Linked DNA regions of Drosophila melanogaster. The protein of the gene in region 2 interacts with the protein of the main gene of each other region in a pairwise test. Each region holds a gene or a part of one and is shown on either strand. Other genes may lie near its edges.

What was found.
Region 1: the proteins of CG8248 (region 2) and NimC1 interact in a two-hybrid assay, tested with the Drosophila melanogaster proteins (one large-scale study listed by BioGRID).
Region 3: the proteins of CG8248 (region 2) and Syx6 interact in a two-hybrid assay, tested with the Drosophila melanogaster proteins (one large-scale study listed by BioGRID).

The regions. Positions count from the first base shown.
Region 1 is NT_033779.5:13,971,173-13,979,617, forward strand, and holds NimC1 (nimrod C1), read right to left. Parts: upstream 5,083-8,445; 5' UTR 5,025-5,082; coding exon 4,806-5,024; intron 4,708-4,805; coding exon 3,058-4,707; 3' UTR 1,986-3,057; downstream 1-1,985. Other genes in the region: NimB5 (nimrod B5), read left to right, coding at 1-509, 569-665; He (hemese), read right to left, coding at 1,068-1,439, 1,619-1,717; Cyp28a5 (cytochrome P450 28a5), read left to right, coding at 6,188-6,375, 6,520-6,766, 6,831-6,935, 7,023-7,569, 7,636-7,902, 8,044-8,207.
Region 2 is NT_033778.4:8,916,702-8,923,390, reverse strand, and holds CG8248 (uncharacterized protein), read left to right. Parts: upstream 1-3,022; 5' UTR 3,023-3,300; coding exon 3,301-3,867; intron 3,868-3,924; coding exon 3,925-4,041; 3' UTR 4,042-4,451; downstream 4,452-6,689. Other genes in the region: CG8243 (uncharacterized protein), read right to left, coding at 1-123, 276-393; Spt (spitting image), read left to right, coding at 742-822, 885-1,052, 1,112-1,438, 1,495-1,819, 1,884-2,606, 2,670-2,771, 2,835-2,884; CG34219 (uncharacterized protein), read left to right, coding at 4,577-4,799, 4,859-5,055; lin (lines), read right to left, coding at 5,714-6,689.
Region 3 is NT_033778.4:11,216,636-11,224,323, reverse strand, and holds Syx6 (syntaxin 6), read right to left. Parts: upstream 4,391-7,688; 5' UTR 4,001-4,390; coding exon of another isoform or gene 3,966-4,000; 5' UTR 3,944-3,965; coding exon 3,703-3,943; intron 3,397-3,702; coding exon 2,695-3,396; intron 2,541-2,694; coding exon 2,464-2,540; 3' UTR 1,986-2,463; downstream 1-1,985. Other genes in the region: CG7737 (uncharacterized protein), read right to left, coding at 641-725; CG9084 (uncharacterized protein), read left to right, coding at 5,157-5,241, 5,942-6,118, 6,161-6,570, 6,634-6,777, 6,844-6,873.

The DNA.
Region 1 (8,445 bases), on a different chromosome or scaffold from region 2:
GTCATCCAGACGGACCAGGCCAACCGGCTGTCCCTGATCGAGGTCTGCTGCACCGGATACTCGGCCAGTCGTCTGATGGGCGTAACCGTGTGCCGGGCGCAATGTGGCTGCCAGAACGGAAGCTGTAAGATTCCTGGTGAGTGCGAGTGCTATGATGGCTTTGTGCGTAACGACAACGGTGACTGTGTGTTTGCCTGCCCGCTGGGCTGCCAAAATGGTCAGTGCTATCTGGACGGCAGCTGTCAGTGTGATCCGGGCTACAAGCTGGACGAGACGCGACGCTTCTGCCGCCCGATCTGCAGCAGTGGCTGTGGCAGCAGTCCGCGGCACAACTGCACCGAACCGGAGATCTGTGGCTGCTCCAAGGGCTATCAGCTGACCGACGACGGATGCCAGCCCGTCTGCGAACCGGACTGTGGAATCGGCGGACTCTGCAAGGACAACAACCAGTGCGACTGCGCTCCTGGTTACAATCTGAGGGATGGTGTCTGCCAGGCCGATTGCTATCAGTAAGCTGAAAACTTCATGCTGGGAATACCAGACTAATGGCAATCTTTATTCGGTGCAGGAAGTGCAACAATGGCGTGTGTGTCAGCCGAAACCGATGTCTATGCGATCCGGGATATACCTACCATGAGCAATCAACCATGTGCGTTCCAGTATAGACATTATTACTAAAGAATTGATTTTTATTTCGAAATCCCTTGGGCTTGATCGGTATAAAACCAAAACAGAGATTGTGTTTATCCAAAAGCTGCAGTCATTATCTTAAAAAATAAATTTAAATGGCTAGATAATATCGCATTCAAAACATGTCGAATAGCTGAGATTACTTACTTCCGTATCGCTTAAATATAACAAATGTTTTTGTTTTGAAATTCTTCTTATCCGGCACAAGTAGAAATAAAATATTTGAAGCGCTTGTCGGAAATAAATGAGTCATGTTTATTTCAAATATTTTAAGATTCGTGCCAAAAATTATTTTAATACTTAGTGGATGCAAATTTGTTTTTAAGAAAGTTATTATTTAAATCCTTGTTTTTAGATAATATTATTTAAATATGATTTTAATATTTAATATTATTAAAATATGCGGTACTTTCAATGGGCTTGCATTGCTCTTTCACAGAATATGAACCATAATGGCGTCGAATGCAGTATATTAGAGCAACTAAAATAGCCAAGGTAATTACAATGCCATACACACTGATAAGTAAAGTGTTGCTGTTTTCTGGTTTTGAAATCTCATTGTCCTTTAAAAATATCTTTGCTGTCGTCGAACTTTCGGTTGAACTTTCGGTGAAGTCAGAAATCTGTGTACTTTCTTCAGTAGATGTATCCGAAGTGGATTCCGTTTCACTTGGGGTTGAATCTGTTGTCATAAAGCTAGTTGAAGTTGAATCTGTTGTCATTGTAGTAGTTGGAGATGGACGGTTGCTCTGACAAAAACAAAAAATTATGATAATTCTTGGTTTTTAAAATTAAATTTTTTTAATTAAATACCTATAAATATGTAATATTTAGACTAACATATTTGTATGTCATTTGCATATGCAATTTGACCCTTTGTCATGGGTATTTAATGTTATTGATTTTAAAAGACAGAAAAAGTACGTACATGTATTGGTTTTCTGTGCGGATGTTCAGAACGGTATCCAAAGGAACTGGTAAAAGTGAACAGTGCCAGGAAAACGACGGTCAGTTGAAAATTATGCATATTAGTGACTTATGTAAACTTAGTGTGAACTGCTCCGCCGAGTGCCAAAAAATGAACTAAACTTTAAAATTTCGCTTGCCTTCTGCGGAGCGAGATTAGTACCCTTTATATGAAAGCTTTTCGGGTATATCCAATAAGGAGGAAAATATGTAACCAGTGTATTTATTTTTAATTTAATTGGCTTTATAAAAGTAAGAAGTAATTGTACAATTATTTCTTACTTTTTTATAAAAAAAGAAAGGTGAGTAAAGGATTTAAATACACTTTTAAACGTTAAGCTCGTCGAGTTCATTTTATGAATTTATTGAGTGGTATGTTTTGGTTGACTTACAACTTTTTTCTCATTCTAAAAAATATGAGGATTACAAATCAGTTGATCTCAGTCGTTTTATTAGTCCGCGAACATTTTACATATTTTAAATATTACATATTATATATGTATGTATGTATGCTTAACAGGCCTCCAATGATTTAGTAGTAAATATGACTCAATCACTTTTGTGTGTCATTCCAAACGTTTCCTGTAACTAATGATAATGGTTAATACAAAAATAATTTTTTAAAAAGAAATAATTTCCCTTATATAGTGATGAACAAACTATTTTAATGTAAATAAACAAAAAATTGCTGTGGTTGTCCAAACTTAAAACTCCAAACACAAAACGAAAGGTATTGAAAAACAAAGGGGTTGTCATACCAATACTTCACGGATTTGATCAGTTTATAAAACTGCAAGTTTCCGGTTTTTTTGCATTGTATTGTTATTATGAAAAGTTATACAGTTTTAGAGCATTACAAAAACTCTGCCTTTACAACAGCTATTGAAAGCTCCTCCGTGTGGAGGAAGTGTTTGGCCAAAATATATGTTTGATATCACGATTTATTAAAGCGTGCGTTTTATCTATTGGATTGATTAACCACACAGAAACTCTGTATGGGAATAGATACATATATGACAAGTACTGAAAAAGGAAACGCTGATACGACTGGTTGGTATCAGCGTTTTCTTTTCCAGTACTCGTAAAGTATTCGTATAAATCTTCTTAACTATTACAGTTAGACGTAATATATATCTCGTACTTGTAAAGTACCCTCTTTTGATGAAACCTAGATAGTCAACTTTAAGTAAGCACAATTGACATTTGCTTACATTTATAGTGAGTCCTGCATTCCGTACCTAAATGGTCCAGTTATTCTTTTAAGCTTGAGGACATTACCAACAAATAATTATTATAATTATTATTATAAATTTATTTCATGTTATTACATTTTTTAATTCAAGTAATTTAACAATTTTACAAGCGATTTTGAAAGGATAAGTGATTTTGTGTGGATTCAAACTATTCAAAATCACATTCAACAATGGCTTCTTCGGCTTCAAAATTTCGCCTAGAGGTAGAACGTCGATAGTACTTTATGCCAATGATTGTGGCGGCCACACCAATGATCATTCCAGCGCAGGAGCCTACGATAATCATCCACTTGTTAGACGATCCAGTTCGGTCAGGAATCCGTACCTCAGCCTCTGATCTTGCCCCCTGCTCTGGCAAAATATGACAAACGTATCGCGAATTCTCCCCGCTGTAATCCATGTCACTATCCTCTTGGCACACCAGTTGACCACTCGATAAATCGCATTGGCAATTGTCCAAATTGAGGCACGGCTTGTCCTGGGGATCAACACAGATCTTGGCACACTTGGCTGTATTGAAAGTACCCATCCCATCGTATTCAATCCAGCACATGCAACCGGCAGTGCAATTTGAGTGCGGAACCTCGCTGGTTGATGTCTGCAGTTGAGGGTCTACAGTTGATGATTGCAACTCCACAGTTGTGGTGCTGTATTCATAGGAGTCCGTCGTGGTTTGTAACTCGCATAGTCCGTTAATATTCTCATAGCCCACGTTGCACTCGCACACATTCGGTGCCACACAGTCTCCGAATTGGCAGCCTTTGCAGATCGGCTGACACATAGAAGTGACAGGATTTGTGCTATTGAGCTGATAGCCATCGTGGCATATACAAAAATTGGGTGCCACACAGTGTCCGTTGCTGCAGCCACTGTCGCAAATAGGATCGCATTCGTGATGGGAGTTGTCCTTGAAGCGATAACCCGGATCGCAGGTACAGGTTTCTGGACTGGTGCACTTGCCATGAACACAGTTTAGGCTGCATTTTGGCTCACAGACTTGATTGGGACCCATTTGATAGCCAATACTGCAAACACAAGTCTCCGGTGCAAAGCAAAAGCCGTTGGTACATCCCTTGCTGCACTTGGGTACGCACTTCTTGTCCGCCCCCGACGACTCATAGCCCGGAAAGCACTCGCATTGGTTGGGCGCCACGCAGTGTGCGTTATCCGAGCACTTTTCGCAATGCGGCTGGCAGAGATCATTTCTCATTACGTAGCCCGGCTTGCAGACACAAACGCCGGGACTCAAGCATAATCCGTTCTCCGGGCAAGTGGAGCACACGGGTCGGCAATTGGTGCCTCCGTCGTCACCGGCATATCCATTTTCACACTCGCACACACCTGGCCTCACACATCGGCTGTTTTGGCCACAATCCTTTGGGCAAATGGGCGAGCAATTGCCATTTGAATTGTTCTTGTATCCATCTGGAAAGACGGTGCCGTTTCCCACTTTCTCGTACCCAGGTTCACATTCGCATTTCCCGGGCTCCGAGCAAAAGCTATGGTGTCCACATTCCTTTTCGCAAACTGGAAGGCAATTGTCGCTGGGAGAAGTTCGTTTGTAGCCATTTTGGCAGCTACAGACTCCGGGGCGATCGCAAAACTCGTTTTTTCCACATACCGTTGGGCAAACGGGATGGCAGTCGATACCGCCGTAGCCCGCATTGCAACTGCAAGTATTGGGGGACGAGCAGAATCCATGTTGAGGACACTGTTGTCTGCAGACAGGTTTGCAGTTCTCAACGGATCCTTCGTAGCCCTCACAGCAACTGGGTCTCATTACGGTCCTGTAGGCAGTCTAGAGAACAGGAGAAAAAGCCTCTTTAAAGGAAACTTTAACTACACACTTACCAAAGCTATAAATAATAATATAAATTATGTACAAATTCGAATTACCTCATCTTCATAGACATATTGATGCCTGTACTTAGTAACCCAACCATGAAAGTATGAATACTGTTGAAACGGAACCAATTTACTTTTAAGAACCTTACGGTTATACGGAACGCTTTCCGGGTGACTGCAATCATTTAGGCCATGCCGTAAAATGGCGAAACTTGTGCCAAAGGACAATGACAGACACACAAAATGCAGTGAAAATGCAGTAAAATCCATGAGTAATGCGAGTCAATTCGTTTCCTGAAGTATATACCATATATATATTCACTATCTTAAAGCAACCAGTCTGTCCGATGAATTAAACAGAACTGGACCCTCAATTAATGTAATGTTCTTTTCTCTTGGATTTTTAATGAATTCCAGATAACGAGCACACTATATCTTCGTTTGCTTTGTACATAGGAATCTTTTAGTATTTTATAATTATTTGTATTATTAGCTTTAGGGAGACTAGTTCCGTTCCCCATTTATATTTTACTCAAAGTTTTGTATTTACCTCTTCGTCTGTATAATACTCGGTGCGGTATTTTGTCTGCCAACCACTCCAGAAAGATCTATGCTGGTATGGTATCACTCTACTCCTTTCGACATATCTCTTGTAAGTAACCACCTGCGATCGGTTACAAACATTCAAGCCGATGGGTTGAATGAAGTCGACGAGTAGCATAAAAAAACCCAGACACACCCAAAGGCATTGGATGTGTGACATTATGGAAAGAGCAGAAATCTTGTAAAATTCAGCTTTGATCTCTATGTAAATGAGTTCGGCGCAACGTTTCAAATTCAACTGAGCTGCAAATGTAAATTTATATATTTCATGTTGCTCCAAAATCAGCTACATCCGTTGAGGACTCGACAATCTAGACCTATACATATAAACCGCTTGGGATTATCTGAGCATTTGTTTATCCCAATATTGCAAGCAAAATATGTAAGACAGAAGCAAACGCTATAATGTTTCCTTCAACTACTGTATATATTTCATCAGCCATTCAAATATGCCCTAGGTTACTAAAGATACTTAAATTTATTCTAAATGGTTAATTTCATTGCGGCTAGTCGAGTTGCAACATCAAATGTTATTGCTTTTTTCTACAAAGAACAAGACCGTAAATAAATAATAATTGCTTGATATGACGATTGACGACCGCCTGCAATAATGATTAGCTCTTATCATTTATATGTTAGAACTGTTTATGGTGAAAGTGTGAGTAGTTTACTCTCCCAGAGCACTCACTCAGGTATCTCGGTGATTCCACACTGTTGAATACCTCTCCCAAATTCAATGAGCAGCTACAAATAGAGCAGAGTATCTGATTCCACAACAGACGCCGTTTAGAACTCGTCGCGCGTGGACGTAGATTTTAGAGCGATCGAAAATGGTTCTGATTACTTTGACCCTGGTTTCGTTGGTGGTGGGCCTGCTGTATGCCGTGCTGGTATGGAACTATGACTATTGGAGGAAACGGGGCGTTCCTGGTCCCAAGCCAAAGCTATTGTGCGGAAACTATCCAAACATGTTTACTATGAAGCGGCATGCAATCTACGATCTAGACGATATATACAGGTGAGTTATCCCAGCTAGAAAGGTTATATTAACTACCAAAATTCAATGGATCATCAACTGTTTCACAAAGAAACCAAGAACCATTCTTAAAACGCATTTAAAAAATTACGCTTTACTTGAATTTAATGCGATCATTTTATTCAGGCAGTATAAGAACAAGTACGATGCTGTGGGCATTTTTGGCAGCCGCTCTCCACAGCTGCTGGTGATCAATCCCGCGTTGGCGCGTCGAGTCTTTGTGTCCAACTTTAAGAACTTCCACGACAATGAGATCGCCAAGAATATTGACGAGAAAACCGATTTCATTTTCGCCAACAATCCGTTCTCGTTAACTGGCGAAAAGTGGAAAACTCGAAGGGCGGACGTAACGCCTGGTCTTACGATGGGACGGGTGAGGCAGTTCATCCAGTGGCAAGCCCGAAAAGTACTGATCCAACCAATATACATAATTACAGATAAAGACAGTCTATCCGGTGACAAACAAGGTGTGCCAAAAGTTGACCGAGTGGGTGGAGAAGCAATTGCGTCTGGGTTCTAAAGACGGCATCGATGCCAAGCACGTAAGATTCCATCTATACTATCTGTTGTACGTATTCTATGAAACCAAACCTGTTTTTTTTTTTTTTTTGCTACTTTATCGTCCACAGATGAGTCTCTGCTTCACAACAGAGATGGTCACCGATTGTGTTTTGGGTCTGGGCGCTGAAAGCTTTTCGGATAAGCCCACACCCATAATGTCGAAAATCAATGATCTCTTCAACCAGCCCTGGACCTTTGTGCTGTTCTTTATACTGACTAGTTCCTTCCCATCGCTAAGTCATTTGATTAAGCTACGCTTCGTGCCAGTGGATGTGGAACGCTTCTTTGTCGACCTGATGGGCAGTGCGGTAGAGACACGTCGTGCCCAGTTGGCGGCGGGAAAGCAGTTCGAGCGGTCCGACTTCCTGGACTACATCTTGCAACTGGGTGAGAAGCGCAACCTGGACAATCGTCAATTGCTGGCCTATTCCATGACCTTCCTGCTCGACGGATTCGAAACGACGGCCACAGTCTTGGCTCACATACTGCTCAATCTGGGTCGTAATAAGGAGGCACAGAATCTTCTGCGAGAGGAGATTCGTTCCCATCTGCAGGATGGCACCATTGCCTTTGAAAAGCTTAGCGATTTGCCCTACCTGGACGCTTGTGTGCAGGGTAAATTAAATAATTTTTCAAGCTGCAATTATTGTTTTTAACCGTATTTACCCATTTATTTTATAGAAACCATCCGACTCTTCCCGCCCGGATTTATGTCGAATAAACTGTGCACCGAATCCATCGAGATTCCCAACAAGGAAGGTCCCAACTTCGTCGTGGAGAAGGGCACCACTGTGGTTGTACCTCACTACTGCTTCATGCTGGATGAGGAATTCTTTCCCAATCCCCAGTCCTTCCAGCCCGAGCGATTCCTGGAGCCAGATGCTGCAAAAACATTTAGGGAACGGGGTGTCTTCATGGGATTCGGGGATGGACCGCGTGTGTGCATTGGTTAGTAAACTATCTTTTCTACTATAACACTACAAAATCATAGTGCCTACTGCAGATTCTGATAATTGAAAGCACTCACTACAATTGAACTTTGAATTTAATATTATTATTATTATAACATTTTATTAATTTCCTTTTCAGGAATGCGATTTGCGACGGTCCAGATTAAGGCTGCTATTGTGGAACTGATATCAAAGTTCAATGTCAAGATCAATGACAAAACCCGCAAAGACAATGATTATGAACCCGGCCAAATTATCACTGGTCTGCGTGGGGGCATTTGGCTCGACCTTGAAAAGCTTTAGAGATTCAATTACTTAATAACTCCCCACCAGCGACGGAAACTAATGTGAAAATTGAGTGGCGTAGTTCCCCAGTCTATTTTTACAGAATATTTGATATGTATACCCAGTGGTACACTTAAGCTCGCAATTGGCTGACTTTGTTATTGCATATGTATATTTGTTGTTTCTATATTAAATATATTTCGTATATAAAATTGTGTGTGTGCGACATAAATATAAGGTTGACATAGTAACAACG
Region 2 (6,689 bases):
CTGGCGTCCAAGTGTCCAGGTTGACGGACTTGACGCGCGATATGTGCACGCCCAGATTGCGATGGATGCCGGCGCAGCGGATGCAGAGAAACATGCCCAGGTTCCAGGAGGCCCAGCGCGGACCTAAGGATAAAAGGTAGCATTCAGTGACAGCACATAGGCTCATATCGCAGTGCAGCTGCATGTGTGGTGTGTATATCCACGCACGCACGCACACAGATGTGCGTCACCAAGAGGCGTATCTCTTGGCGGAGAAGTGGACCCCATTAACATACCCTTGGCATCGCAGTCCACGCAGTACTTGTTGTCCTCGTCGCGGAGCATCTGCGTCAGGAGGGTCTGGCACTTCTCCTGAATTAGCTTCGTGCGCTGTCCCGCATTCGAGGAGCTCATTTTGGGGTATGCTTGCGGTCTGTGAGGCCTGGTTTCGATATTTGTGGCGGGGCGCAACTGTGCGACGTGGCGTGGGCGACGGGTAGAGTTGGCGGAGCTTATCTCTGCTTCACATGGATATACAACTACCAGCGAATTGAATTGACAATTTTCTACAAGTTTTTGCTACCGAAAAAGTGATGCGTCCAGTGGGACCGTGTGGCGGTGAAGGCAGCTAGCCTCCCTGGTTGTCACTAACGCCAAGCCGTGCCATCTTGCCATTCACAGGGAACCGAAGCCACTTTTTAAAAAAGTTGTTTACTTTTACTTCTGCCCACAGAACATTTGAACTCACATTTGCCGGCAAAAATGGAAATTTTGCGAACGAAACTAGAGGCCTGCCTGCTGATACTGAACAGGAACAATGCAGCAGCTGCAAACTGGCTGAATGTAAGTGGGGGAAACGGACCACTAGCCCCAGGACATCAATCACTTGTTGCTTTGAATTTCAGGACCTGTGCGCCGTGCTATTGGAATTCGCTACTTTGGCCCACAGCTCCTTCTGCTCCCAGGGGCAGTCGGAGTGCTCGGAGCTGGTGTGCCTCTGCCTCAGCCAGATTATGATCTGCATTCGCCAAGTGGAGAACACCATGAAACTAGAATGCGGCACCACAGTCTCGGTGAGTAATTTGGATCTCATCCATGCATTGCACAATGATGTCTAATCCTCTGAAAGCAGGTAAGTCATCAGTACTTCCTGGACCGCATTCGCTGGTGCCTGAAGCGCCTCATGCATCTTTACAGCGAAGAATCGAGTTCCGAAGCAGTAGCTCCGGAGCGCTCGTTCCTTAAGCTGGTGGATGGCGCATTGGATTGTTTGGCGCAGTTCACCTCGCACAGTGAGGAAAACACCGATACCTCCAACTGTCCAAAGACTCCCAAGGAAGTCCTTCCACTCAGCCAGAAGTTGCGCGCCAACATTGATTTGATCTTGGGTCAATCTCTGGGATTCGCCAATGTGGCTTTGTCTCAGGACAAGAGGGCTCTCAGTGCCTTGTGCCAAAAGGTGGGTGTACATCTTCTGCAGTATCCCCTTATTTATTCCCCTCATTTGTGCTCTAGGTCATCCGGGAGTGCAATGCCTTTCAGGAGGAGTGCAAGGAGTCATTCAGTGCCAACTACCTGTCCACCCTTAAGCTGCGGGCCATGACCATGGAACAGGCAATTTACCAATTGGAGGACTTTATCAACGATGCGCTTTTGCGCTTGGTATTCACATGCTTCCTGGACTTCGAGAAGTTTTCGGTAGACAAAATTAGAGCGCTGTTAAGGAACAGCCCAGATAATGATGATCTGGCCGATGAGTTCATAGCGGACTTTGATGTGAACATAGATCGCGCCACCCAGATAGGCATTTTTGCCATTTCCTTTGCGCCCAACTTGAAAAGTATAATAATTATATATAATTATAAAAAAAAACGCAATTAACTCCAGTACCAATTCCTTTTCAGTGAAAACCATAATGCGCAGCTGTCTGGCCTCCTTTGAATCACTGGACACCACTCTGATACCTTCACTGCAGGCCCATGGTTCCGATTTGCACTCGGACATCCTAGAGCAGCACTTTAACGAGGAGGTGGCCAAGTTCAAGGCAGCGCTTCAGGAGATCATCGACAGCCGCGCCCTCGTTGGTTGTTGCCTGGAGATACTGACCTCAGGGATAAGTGCAACGGAAAAGCTTTTCGATAAGCAGCGATTGGAGGACTTGGTTCAAATCTCTTTGCTGCTAGTCGAGCACTTTCAGCTGGAAGTCAACCGAAAGGGTCTAAGCGAAACGCAGGACCGATTGGGGGAAGAGTACTACCAGCAGTTCATCCGGGTACTGCGCGAGTGCAAGGCTATTTTGATGTGCGCATCCCAGGTGGAGCCGCAGAGAATCCTCAAGCGCTTCAAGATCTTGCGCACGATCTTGCGCAAATTGCACGGCTCCCTGGGAGCTGGTAAACAAGAGGAGGAACTTCCTATTCCCCTGGCTCCCCTTTTAGCTGATGATACCAAGGGGGTAAATGAAGACGAAACCCATTTCACTGGCTATAAAACAGCCCGAAGCGGCAGTATCCTCTACGACACAGAGCGTAGGAATAGAGTAACTAGACGAACGGACAACAAGCTACCCACAAATACCTTGGACATTAAATCGGATAAGGCAAAACCCCATGGAAATGTTCTGAGAAGTAAGTCGGCTGATGTTTAGATAAATTTGGTAAGGTTACCAATGTTTTGAATGCTATTTTCAGGAGAAAGTTTACGGACTGTCATGTTCAAGCGGCAGAATATAGCTGAAAGCAGAAAGCTATACACCTCCATGAGTAATCAGTCTACGGATCTACAAATCACAGGTACCTAAAATGATTACATTTCCTATTTTATAAGTTTTTCCATTAAATTTCGTATATTTTTAGATATACTCGACCAACTCACTGGAATGTCCAATGGATACTTTGAATGCTGAAGCATTTCAACCATTTGTACATAACTTTTTATTTAGTTTAGTGTTTAAGTTCATACCATTTAAGAGATTTTGCAATTCAAACTTAACGTACGTCGCCACCTGAATGTCATAGGTCAGGTCAGGCATACACACAAACATGTATGTTCCTCGGGTGGCGAAGAGTATCGCATCGGAAACAGTTTAGACTGTTGTAAAAGTAGAGCAATAGGTTCCAATAAATATATAGACACATAGCACACTTGTCAGCGCATCTCCCTCGGTCGATTGACCTTTCAATTGCACTGGACACCCTCGTTCAACCCAACATGTGAAGCTGTGTGGGCAATCCCTATCGATTTTCCACCACGAGCGGCAGCCAGGACTCGCAGTCAACAGATACACACGGTAATTGCTTGGTAAACAGTAAGCACTCGGCTATGAAATCTCTGGCCGGCGATAAATTTGCTCTGTCCGAAGAGATTGGGCCACCGCCTTGTTCTCCCAAACACCGAAAAGCAAGTGCCGTGAGTAGGGACACGGATACAAATAACCATCATGTGGTGCCGCTGGGGATCCTCGTGGTGCTCTGCACTGTGTATCTCATGGTAGCCGGGATGCAGCGCAACTACAGGCACTATTTTAAGCCGGGCGTGGCTGCCTTCGACCTGCACCATGCCCAGCCGGAAGCCATGGCCGACGCCGAATTGGATGTCGCCGCTCCAGATGCATCGTGCCAGAGGTTGGACGTTTTCGGAAAGGAATCCAATCGGAATCAGGCAGTTTCAAGAAGATCCCAAGGCAGGCCCACGAAGAGAACCAAAAACGGCACTGGAAATGGGGTCAGCAAGCAACCTCGTCGTTTGATAAAGTCCCCGGAGGGGCACAAGAAGAAGGAAGTTGGCAAGAAGAGTAACACAGCGGAGCCCATTATTTACCTGTTCGCCCTTGTGTTTGTCTATCTGCTTCTGAAGGCCGCCTCGGACATCAACCAGCACTACAAGTCGGTAAGGATAACCCGCATTCCATTCCCTATTGCCACGTGAATAATCCTTCTTCGGCAGCAGAACAAAGGGGACAAGCGACTGCGCCGGTGCTCGCTGCAATCTTATGCCCAGATCCACAAGCAGGATCGCCGGTCATCAAAAGGTATTTCACCAAAATCTTTGCCAAAGTTTTAGCTCGCTGGGGGCCAGGTGCCTAGCCTATTACACCGTGTTAACGAGGGATCAAGTGAATTGTTATCCTATAAATCTAAATGTATCTACCACTATGTACTGAACTAGCCAATCTTCTCTACTCTAAAGCACCAGTTTTCTGACTTTTTCGGAAAATGTATTGTTGTGTATTGTGTATCTCTCGTCTGTCCTCAATCTCTATACATCTATACATCTGTACATCGCACTTTTCGGGCTCGATTATGCGTTTGATATCTGTGTTTTTGAACGACCTCCACTGTTTACCTCCTCTTCACCTATCTGTGAAACTGTACTGAATCCGAATATAAGGTTGTACATACTCGAATGTATATTACTGTCCTAAGTGTACGTAATCCTAAAATAAATCAATTACTATGTGCTTTCCTGTGATCAATTTACATACGTAGCCGTGTTAGCTTGCGTTTCATTTCCTCCGTTCGATTGGGCTTTTACGCAATCCTCTGCGATCCTCTCTCACCCCGAATCCCAAACTGACCGCTCTACATTTCCCCAATGCATGCCAAAAGTGGATGAGTCCCCCATCTTCCGGCGCAAGCATATAATCAGCGAGGAGCGTTCCGTATCTGTGGATCGCTTCAAGTACACGCTAAACGATGAGGGAGGCTTCACCAGGTCCGTTCCGCTGGTTCAGGAGTATCACTACAGGGTGGTATCTCCTTTGGCCAGCCGACCCAGTCAGCAGCATCCGCATAAGCCGGGATCCGGAGAAGCCCGTTTCGGTAAAGAGTCCCCACAACAAAGTGACACGTCCCATAAGACCAACTACTTTCTTCTCTAGAGCCTCGTCTTAACCGTCGCTCCTCGGTTCCGATCAGCATTAACTATCAAACGGTGCACGTATCGAGTCCACATCCTCCGGAAATGGCCAGGCGCGGCTCGGTGATAAGCCTCACTGGGCCACCACCAGAAGTCAGTGGTATGCCAAGTGGAGCCGCTGATCCAAAGCGGCGCGTCCGCATGATAAATCGCCATTGAAGTCCAGAAGTCCAGATGAGATCAGGACACAGCCCAACGAAATTGCAAAGAGACTACAGTATTTTAACACACCATTCGGAAACAGAAACCGCACACGTTGTAGTCCTTCTTAATGCGTTTCTTTTAATCAGTTAATTATGTTATATTATTCAAGTGTTTTAAAAAAACGTACAAAGAATATTCTTCTCGAAGACACCGAATTTACGCCCACTTCGGCGGGCAGCCGTTTGCCGCAGCATTTTGCCATCCTATTGTACATTATTCTACTTAGGGCAAGATTAAAAAAATCTTAGGCTAGCGTAGTGTTTAGTTTGGAATTCAGTACCTATGATATAACCATTATCTACGAACTAACTACGAACTTGTGATGCTCATTACAATTACAATGACAATTACATACAGCTGGGTATGTATCTGGGTTGAAAGACCTGCTGGGCGAAGCGGATGAAGAGGGTGCAAGATCTTAACTACGGTTGACGCGCTACTGGATCGGGGTGCGGAGTTATGGTCGGAGTGGTTGGTCCCTACGGCTAATACACGTATTCTACAAGGCCTCCATCTTCATCGAATTTTGCGCTAGTTTCTCCTATTCCATTAAATATTAAAATAAATTACGTATTTTAATTGCATGTGGTTGAAGTTCGTCCCTGCGCCGCATTCAGCTCAGCTCGTTGCCCTCGTACAGGCTCTCGCAGCTCTCGAGCAGGCGCAGCACGGGGGAAATGTCGTAGGGGTAGAGCTGGCGCGACACGAGGCGGGATATCTGCAGGCGCAGCCGGATAAGAACGCCCATCGCCTCGTCTAGCATGGCGCTGCCCATGCCGAAGGTGTGACAGCTGTGCACGAACATCGTCCAGTTCATGCGGATGTACTTGAGCAGGCGCAGCAGGTAGAGCAGGAAGCAGGTCTCGTTGCTCACCAGCAGGTCCAGCAGCAGGTCCGAGCTGTTCGATGTCATCTTGAGGAACTCCAGGAATGTGTACACCGGATTCAGCATGGCCACCAGCTCGGGGAAGGCGTTGTTGCGGAACGATATCCCAGACGTGACGTCCAGCGTGCAGACCATGGCCTCGATCAAGTGGTCGTCCTGGTCGTCGAACAGGTGGATCAGGATCTTGCTGAAGTGGCACTCCGGATGGAATTCCAGCGTCTGCTTTATGAACGTCTCCAGCTTGCTGAGTACATCGCGGATCGAGCGCTCAATGAGCATCATGTCCTGGAAGGCATCGTAGTCGGTGGAATCGATGGATGAGTCGGAGGAATCGCTGCGTATCTCCTTCACCGTCACCGCTATCGACTTCAGCACCAACAGCACCATCTTCTGCAACAGTGTCTTATCCATTTCGATAAGGTCCAGTGGCGCACCGTCCTCTTCGCTGTCCCCTGATTGCGCGGCATGTGCCAGGGTAATTGTTCCATTGGCGTACACCATCGGCTTGCCATTGTAGCCGATCAGACTGACCATGTTGTCCGGCTGTCGCCGCGGCAACGACTCCAGTATGCGGAAGCCGCGCACATGGCAGACTATCTGGTGAGCCAGCTTGCACGTCTCCTCGGGCAGCATGTCCTGCAGCGCCAGCGTGGAACCATAGCACAATGCCTCGTTGAAGAGGCACAGCATCTGCTTGTACACG
Region 3 (7,688 bases), 2.3 Mb from region 2:
TTTTCAATTTTATGCAACAGTAAGCATTATTTAATTATGGTTTCCTTTAAACACACAATATTTAGAAAATTATATTTGGATGAATTTTTCGAAATAGCAATCTATTCAGAAATTTGTAAAATTGGTTTTTAATTTTACGCAACAGTAAGCATTATGGTTTCCTTTAATCACACAATATTTAGAAAATTATATTTGGATGCATTTTTCAAAATTGCAAGCTATTCAAAAATTTGTAAATTTTTTTTTCAATTTTATGCAACAGTAAGCTTACAAATGCTTGGCGTTAAAACTGTGTAAATTGTAATACAATATCACTTATTCGCAGTCATGCCTAAAATCTCAGAACGTGAATACGTTAGCTTTACTATCCATTGCAAATGTTAAAGTGAATAAAACAAGCCCTTTTAAAAATTCTTATGGTTGTAGGAAATTTGCTTTTCAAAATTCCCATTTTGCTTTCACAGATATGGCTTTTCAATTTCCCTTTCACTTTCAAAAATAGCATTGTAAATTGATTTCGCAATAAACTTATCGTATAATATACATAAACAACAGTCTGTGCGGGTAATTTGCTGATATATAACATGATATTTTCACCAACAGAATTAATTTTGTGTTTTTTTTTGCCATTTTTGCTTACTGTGCATTGGAAATTTGCTTATGGCAATGGTGCATTGCAATTCCAGACACTTGAGTTTTATTACCGTCCACTTTCCGTACAACATAAACTACACACGTCTTTTGATTAAAAAGTAACGGCATGTTCGCTCATCTGTTTCGATAACGAACGAATCCCTGCCCGCGAATCCGACTTTTGATAAGAGTTTCGAAAAAGCTCCCCCCACCCAGCAATGAAAACCACGAGCAACACACTGGCGTCCAAAGGAAAACACACGGCCACCAAGAACACATGTAGTCTGAAATATGTTCACTCGCTTCTTCTGGCCACATGCATTTATTAATAGCCACGGCAGCAAAGGGAAAGCGGAGGAAAAATCCCAGAAGGAGTATCTAGCCAACCGGACCAGCTGGTTTTACCTGGCGGTCAACTGAAATCTGAGTGTTTCCACGAAGAGCAGTAAGTGGGGGGGGGGGGGGAAAGAAATGGAAGCGGTATCCCATCTTCCGCCGTTTGACATTGATTTTATATATTTTTGGCCAACAAAATGCTCAAGGTTTTCAGCGGCAACAAAAACTGCACACAATAGGAAAACCAACCACAAACATCCGAGAGGAAGTCGAATTTTGGGTTACTGCATATTTGGGGGTGATAATGGGTGGGTATGTTCACTTCACTGCGCACTGTCACTCACCAAAATAACTTTGAATGCCGCTTAGCCGAAGTAATTCAACAATTGAACATTTCTACCGGAATATCAGGAGATATATATATATACTATATGCCAACTGCTGGGAAAACTCCAGCTCCGCGGAAAAGGCAAACAACACTGAATGCCGAAACCCGAAAAACATCACATGGAAACGTGCCGCTCTGCCCGTGTGCTTATGCTGTGACCCAGTGGCGTAGTCCGGATTCCCCGTAGGGGTTATGTTTCAAGCCTTTCGAAGATACCCCTTTGGTTGCGCCACTGTGCGCAGACTGTAAGCTCGCCAAAAAGCTCCGGGCAAAAGCATGCAACACAGCTGAGTGAGTGGGCAAATCGAGTGGGCTGTCGAGTGGTTTTGGGGCGCAGAGAGAACATGAGAAGGGGCCTGATACCCTCTCCTTGTGCACAGAGAAAAATTTGGTATTAAATACCATTTTCCAAATCATTGATCTATCAGAAGATAACATCTTGACTAATCCTACTATCCTTAAAAACATTAAAAAATTTGAAAGCTTGTATTTCCAATTTTTGTTTAATTTAGGCTTTCAAAATAGCGAACAAATTTTTGTATATGTATACAATTTCTCTCTGTGCACTCATACAGTATTTCTAGGTGACCCGTAAGAAGTACCTCATTTGGCTTTAAATTAGGAATTTAATTTATAAGTATATATATTTACTCAATTGCATACAAGTTTTTGCTAGATTTGGTTAGTGAAATTTCCTAAGACTCTTCGTTAAATAACTCGTTTGATATTGGTAGGTCCATTTTGTTTGTATGTATATATATGCAGATATATCCTTCGATGTATATACAGCTTACAGTTGCAGTATCCTTTGGCCAAATTGGGAATGACAGAACTCTGGAGCACTTGGTTTATATGTAAGTAGTTAGTTATCTTTTATTACCCGCCTACATTGACTTTACATGATCATTTGTCCGTAGCTTTGGAATTACATTATATATATATAGAGAGAGGCGGCTGGTAATAAATCAGGTTAAAATGTTTCCGTGTATATACAGCAAGGGAGTTTACATGGAATTGTAATTAAGAGCCCGAATTCAAAAGCAAGCTAAGTCATAAATAAATCTAATTTACACTAAATATAAACGATTTGGGAACAACGAAAGCAATTACAAAATAATAAACAAAATTATCACAAACAATAACAGTCCGGATAGGATGAGAATGGCGGCCCACTGTCGTTTATCTGTGAAAGAAGATGGATACAGTTAAGAATTAGGAATCAGAAGTCACAAAAGTATTCAATGGGTAATTTTGATTGTGGTTCACTGAAGCATTTACTCTTCATTAATATTTCAATCAAAATAGTCCTTGAATACCACAAGTGCCGCACCACTCACCATTATTCATGTGCAAGACTTTGGCAACTTTCTTCATGGTCGTATCCAACTTGGACTCCGTGGTATCGAACTCGTTCCCAAAGTCGTCTAGCATGACGGCCTGCTCATCGAGCTCAACGCCAATTTGCCGCGAGACCGTCTTGAGGGTACCAATCGAATCGCTGATCATGTCTAGCTGCTCATCCTGTCCCTGGATCATACGCTGCTGTATGGACACTGTTTCGCCCACGTACCTATGACTCGGACTGTCCATGCCGCCGTGATGCGTCTGCCCATAGTGACTGGGACTGTCCAGGGCGTTCTCCAGCTTGGAGTACTTGGTGCCGCTGTGGCGGGATGCTGCTGCCGCTGCCGCCGACATGGTCCCAGCTATGGTATTGGCCACCTGACTGCCGCTATTGATCAGCGAGTTGCCGTTGGGACACTCCACGAGGTACGTGCGATCGTTGTGTGGATGCTGATGGTACTCGTTGGAGTTGGAATTCGAATTGGGTATGGCAATGGAATGATTGTGATTGGGGCTGTGGCGATCGTTGTCGAGCAGCGGCTGGTGTGCGGTGATGTCTCTGTCCCGGCTCCGGTTCAGGCTCATCTTATCCTTCATCTGCTTGACCTCATCGCGAGTGTTGTCGATGAAGTGGCGCCGGCTGGAGAGTTCGCGGTTGTCGATCCGAAACTTGCTTGGATTCTTCTCAACGATGCGTGTGAGTCAAAATGGTATGGGTTAAGGAGAAAACCGAGGAGACTGATGAGCTAGAAAGTCGGTTCTACCGACCTTAAGATACCAAGTACTCTTTTTTTACAATTATAGTGCCAAAAAAACAAGTTCTGTACAGTTTATTAGTATAATACTAATAAACGAGCGAATTAAATCACGAATAAATTGCATATTCAGCAATTTTAAATGGGATCTCAACCTCTTTATGCGAAAATAAAACAGACAATGCAATTCGATAAATGAGTACCAGGTAACGAATTGATTTTTCAATGGTCTTTGCAAAAGGATATTGATAGTGTCCTCGAGGTCCTCGAGATCCCACTCGATGCTCCGTAGCGAGTTACGCAGCTCGGTGGTGGTCCATTCAGCCTCCGTTCCGCCGTTCTCGCCCAGCTCCCGCCAACGCAGATAGAGGCCGCGGGTTTTGTTCAGAGCTTTGAATACCTCGCTGTTGGGGAAGGGGAGGGAAATGAAAGAAAAAACAGAGATATAAGTAAGATAGCACTTTCCACCAGCAGTGCATGTGGCCATCTGCCAAATCGGGGACACCTACTCCTTGACCACGAAAAACGGATCCTCCAGAGACATGCCGCGTTCTCTTCTTGCCACAAAACGAAAACTAACACTCCTAGCAGTTTTTCACCAGCGTGGCGCACTTGACGGTTCTTTTCATGGATTTTTCCGGGCGAAAACCACCCCCCAAAGGTACAAGGGGGCAAATTGCAAGTTGGCAATAGCAAAAGCACTTCGTGGGAGTTACATCAAAAGGCAAGCAAATGGGGAGCAAATTTTTGCTTTCAATCCGTTCTATATAGCAGGAATTTCACAATCGACTGGGTTTTATCTTTCGCCTAGCAGCGATGTTTGAACAGCACGTTTATTGATTATTGCACTTGGACCCGCTCCGCCGCTTATCGCTCGATTTCTTGTGGATTCCGCCGACTTAGCTGGTTCCACCGATGGCCCAGAGAACACTGTCGCTATTTGCGCTCCAGAGATTAAGCCCCCACCGAGAACCACTACCCCACTGGCATTTGTTTACGCCGCTCCCGCTCCAGCGGCTGCGCACTTTGGTTCCTTGATTACCAACCCCTTGACTAACCGATTTGAAAACAACCCGAATTTTGGCCAAAAAATTCCACAACAACAAATCGTCGGCCAAATGGCCAGCACTGTTGCAATTTTCATCGCTCGCTCACCTGCTGCTCGTCTCCACGTCATTTAGCAAACTTCGGTCCGAGAACACGGTGACGGACTTTAATTTCAAGTTCACACGAGACAAATTCTGATAAATAAATTTAAGTAAAGGTTTTATTTCTGTTTTGCTGCTAGCAAAATAAACCGTAAGGCTTAGTATGACCCAAGTGCGATAGCACGTTTATCCCGCGATAATTTAGTATATATCGCAAGTGCAGAAAATACGTTACTAAACAGTTTGAATCAGGTGGCAGCTCTGGATTTGAATATATATTTATCCACATTCAGCTTGAGCAGCATAAACGAATATTTTGAAAACCTGCAACATTCGCATGAATTAAAGTTTACAAAATAGCACTATAAATAAGCTATTATTACTATTTCACATGAGAACGTTCGTAATAGAGTATTAAAATCATCTGAGTCAGGAAGTGTGACCAGGCGAGGGGCACAAAGCACTTAACTTCCGTTGTGCTACTGCCCCACTGACCACCGTTATCAATTTCATTTAGACCGCCGTCAAATAAGTTTGAAAAGTGCTGGCGAAATGTTGCAAAACAACGCGGTGCGCACTTTGCAATACGACAGTGAGATCCGTGTGGCCCAGCAGCCAAGTCTCTCAGAACCGAGAGGTAATTTAGGGCATATGGCTTTAGAAAACGAATAAAAACAGCGAGTGAATCACCCTGGCAAAAGGGTAACCGAATTGTTACCAACTGATAAGCAGTGCACCGGATTAATTATTGTTGCGAGCGAGTGTGTCACACAGTTCGACGCAAAAATGCGGCCACAAGTTGGCTATATCTTATCGGCCAGCGTTTTGTTATGGTCTGCGACTCCTCAAGTGCCTTTGTTTGGGACGATCGAACCCAGCGATCAATCCGATAGTAAAACCGTACCCATGATATTAGCTGTATCCTATACCAACATTTTCCTATTCCAAGAAAAGTAATAAAATATTTATGTGACAAGATTATGAAAAAATCGAAAAACTACTAAAGTTTTAATCTAAACGATTTGTTATAACCACAAAATATTTTCAATAATATTGCTATTACTCAGAGCTATTATTAGCAGAATGTTCAACAACCATTTTTATTTAATTCAAATTCACTGTAAAATTATGATCTTAAAACTACAACTTTAAATGAAATTTAAATTTAATTAAAATATTAAAAACTTTCAAAATTCAATCTATGGAAAAGTTTGTAATACCCTAAAGATATGGAAAAGGTTTATAAAATCTTAGTTCAAAGATAACAATATGGACAACCTTACGATTCTGCTCGTATTGGAAAATGGTCTATATACGATTTGTTTGTTTTTCTTCAGTTTATGACTCCCATATCAGCATTACCTCACAACCCAGGCCGGAGGCTCCACGCATCCCGCTGCCAGTGCCAATTGCCACGGTTACGGGAAGCCGGACGCTTATCCCACTTTCCGGATACGATTGCCTAGCAGATCTGCCGTCCGTACATATTGAACAGACCTTTGAGCTTAACGATGGTAAGTACAAGCCCAAAAATTAGCTAAAATCGCTTCTAATAGTTCGTCTTCCCTTTGCAGCCCTAACAGGCGTCTCCTCGGAGAATCGATATGTGGTGCGATCTCCACTGGGTGATGCCATTTTCGCGGCCAACGAGAGTTCCACAGAAAAAAATCGACTACTTTGGGGAGCTGGTCGACCCTTTCAGATGCACCTGCTGGATAAAACGCACCAGGAAGCTCTGGTTTTTCGCAAAAAACTAGCGATGGGATCCATGTGCTGCCAGGCAAAAAGTCTAGAAATTTGGATACCACCTGGTAATTTGCTGGGTAAAGTGGTGCAGTCGCCCACCTTCATGCAGCCGGAGTTCTTTATCGAAGACGAAAGCACAGGACAACTAACATTCTGTGTAGAGGGTCCTGTCGGTTTAGGATTCTGCTGCTTCAGTTTGCCCAAAGATTGTTATTTTAAGGTTGGTAGTAGCTTTAACATTCGGAACAGAATATTCAATTATAGTGTTTTTGTTCCCTTACAGATCCATTCGGGAGGCAATATGAGGGCTTCCATAGACCACAAATGGCTCGCCAGCAAGTCTCAGTACACCACAAATATATACTTTAGTGACGCCAAGCTAACCGCCAAGGAGCGGGCTTTGATACTGGGATCAGCCTTTCTACTGGTACTGTGCTCCTAGTTTATATACATATATCATTTGCCACAATAATGTTTTGTATTCGTTTTTCAGGAATATCTATTCTTCCAAACCCGCTTTTGACGTGATTAATCAATAAAAAAAAACATTGTATATTCACATTGATTTCTTTATTTTTTGTCATTTTTTTGTATAAGATTTTATGTTTGTTTGTGTTTTGTTTTTTTTTTTTCTCAGTTTTTTGATATATTTTACAATAATGTAATAGATCACTTCATTTTCTTGTTGTTTAACCACATACACACATTCAAATATATAGATATATATCTATGTGTATATATAGATTTTGCTGCAGCGCTTGCCATAGCAGTTTGTACAATATTTCATTTATATCTATCAACTTTGTGTAGTTTGTTTATCTAACCTACCGCTTAATGCATATATGACAACATATTGATTATTTACAGTTAGCGTTTTTTTTCATCATTTCGTTTCTCTTCTGTCAAATACAAAATTAAAAGAAACAATTAAATGAGTCTCGTGGTCTCGTTGTTTAAAGAATTAAAACAAAACTAGGGGCGCAAGTCATTTCTCATTCACCGTTAATAGTTGCGCTTCAAAACTTGGTGTGATAACAATTTGAAATAAGGAAGAACTACGTGATTTTCAAAGGGCAAAACTTGGATTTGGACATAGAAAACCAATATACTTAGTGTGCGGGTGTGTTCTGGTTCGGTTTGGAGGTTCATTTTCGGGGCTAGGCCTTAAAAATAACACACTTCTCTCGCTCTCGGATCTTTACATTTGTAGATAGACTCACAGCACTTCAGGAGTTTTTGCATTTATGCATTTCGAAAACAAATTATGGTTAAGTGTATACAATATAGATAGATTTATAAGTGTGCTCGTTGGTTGGCTTATAACTAGGGCTAGCTGAT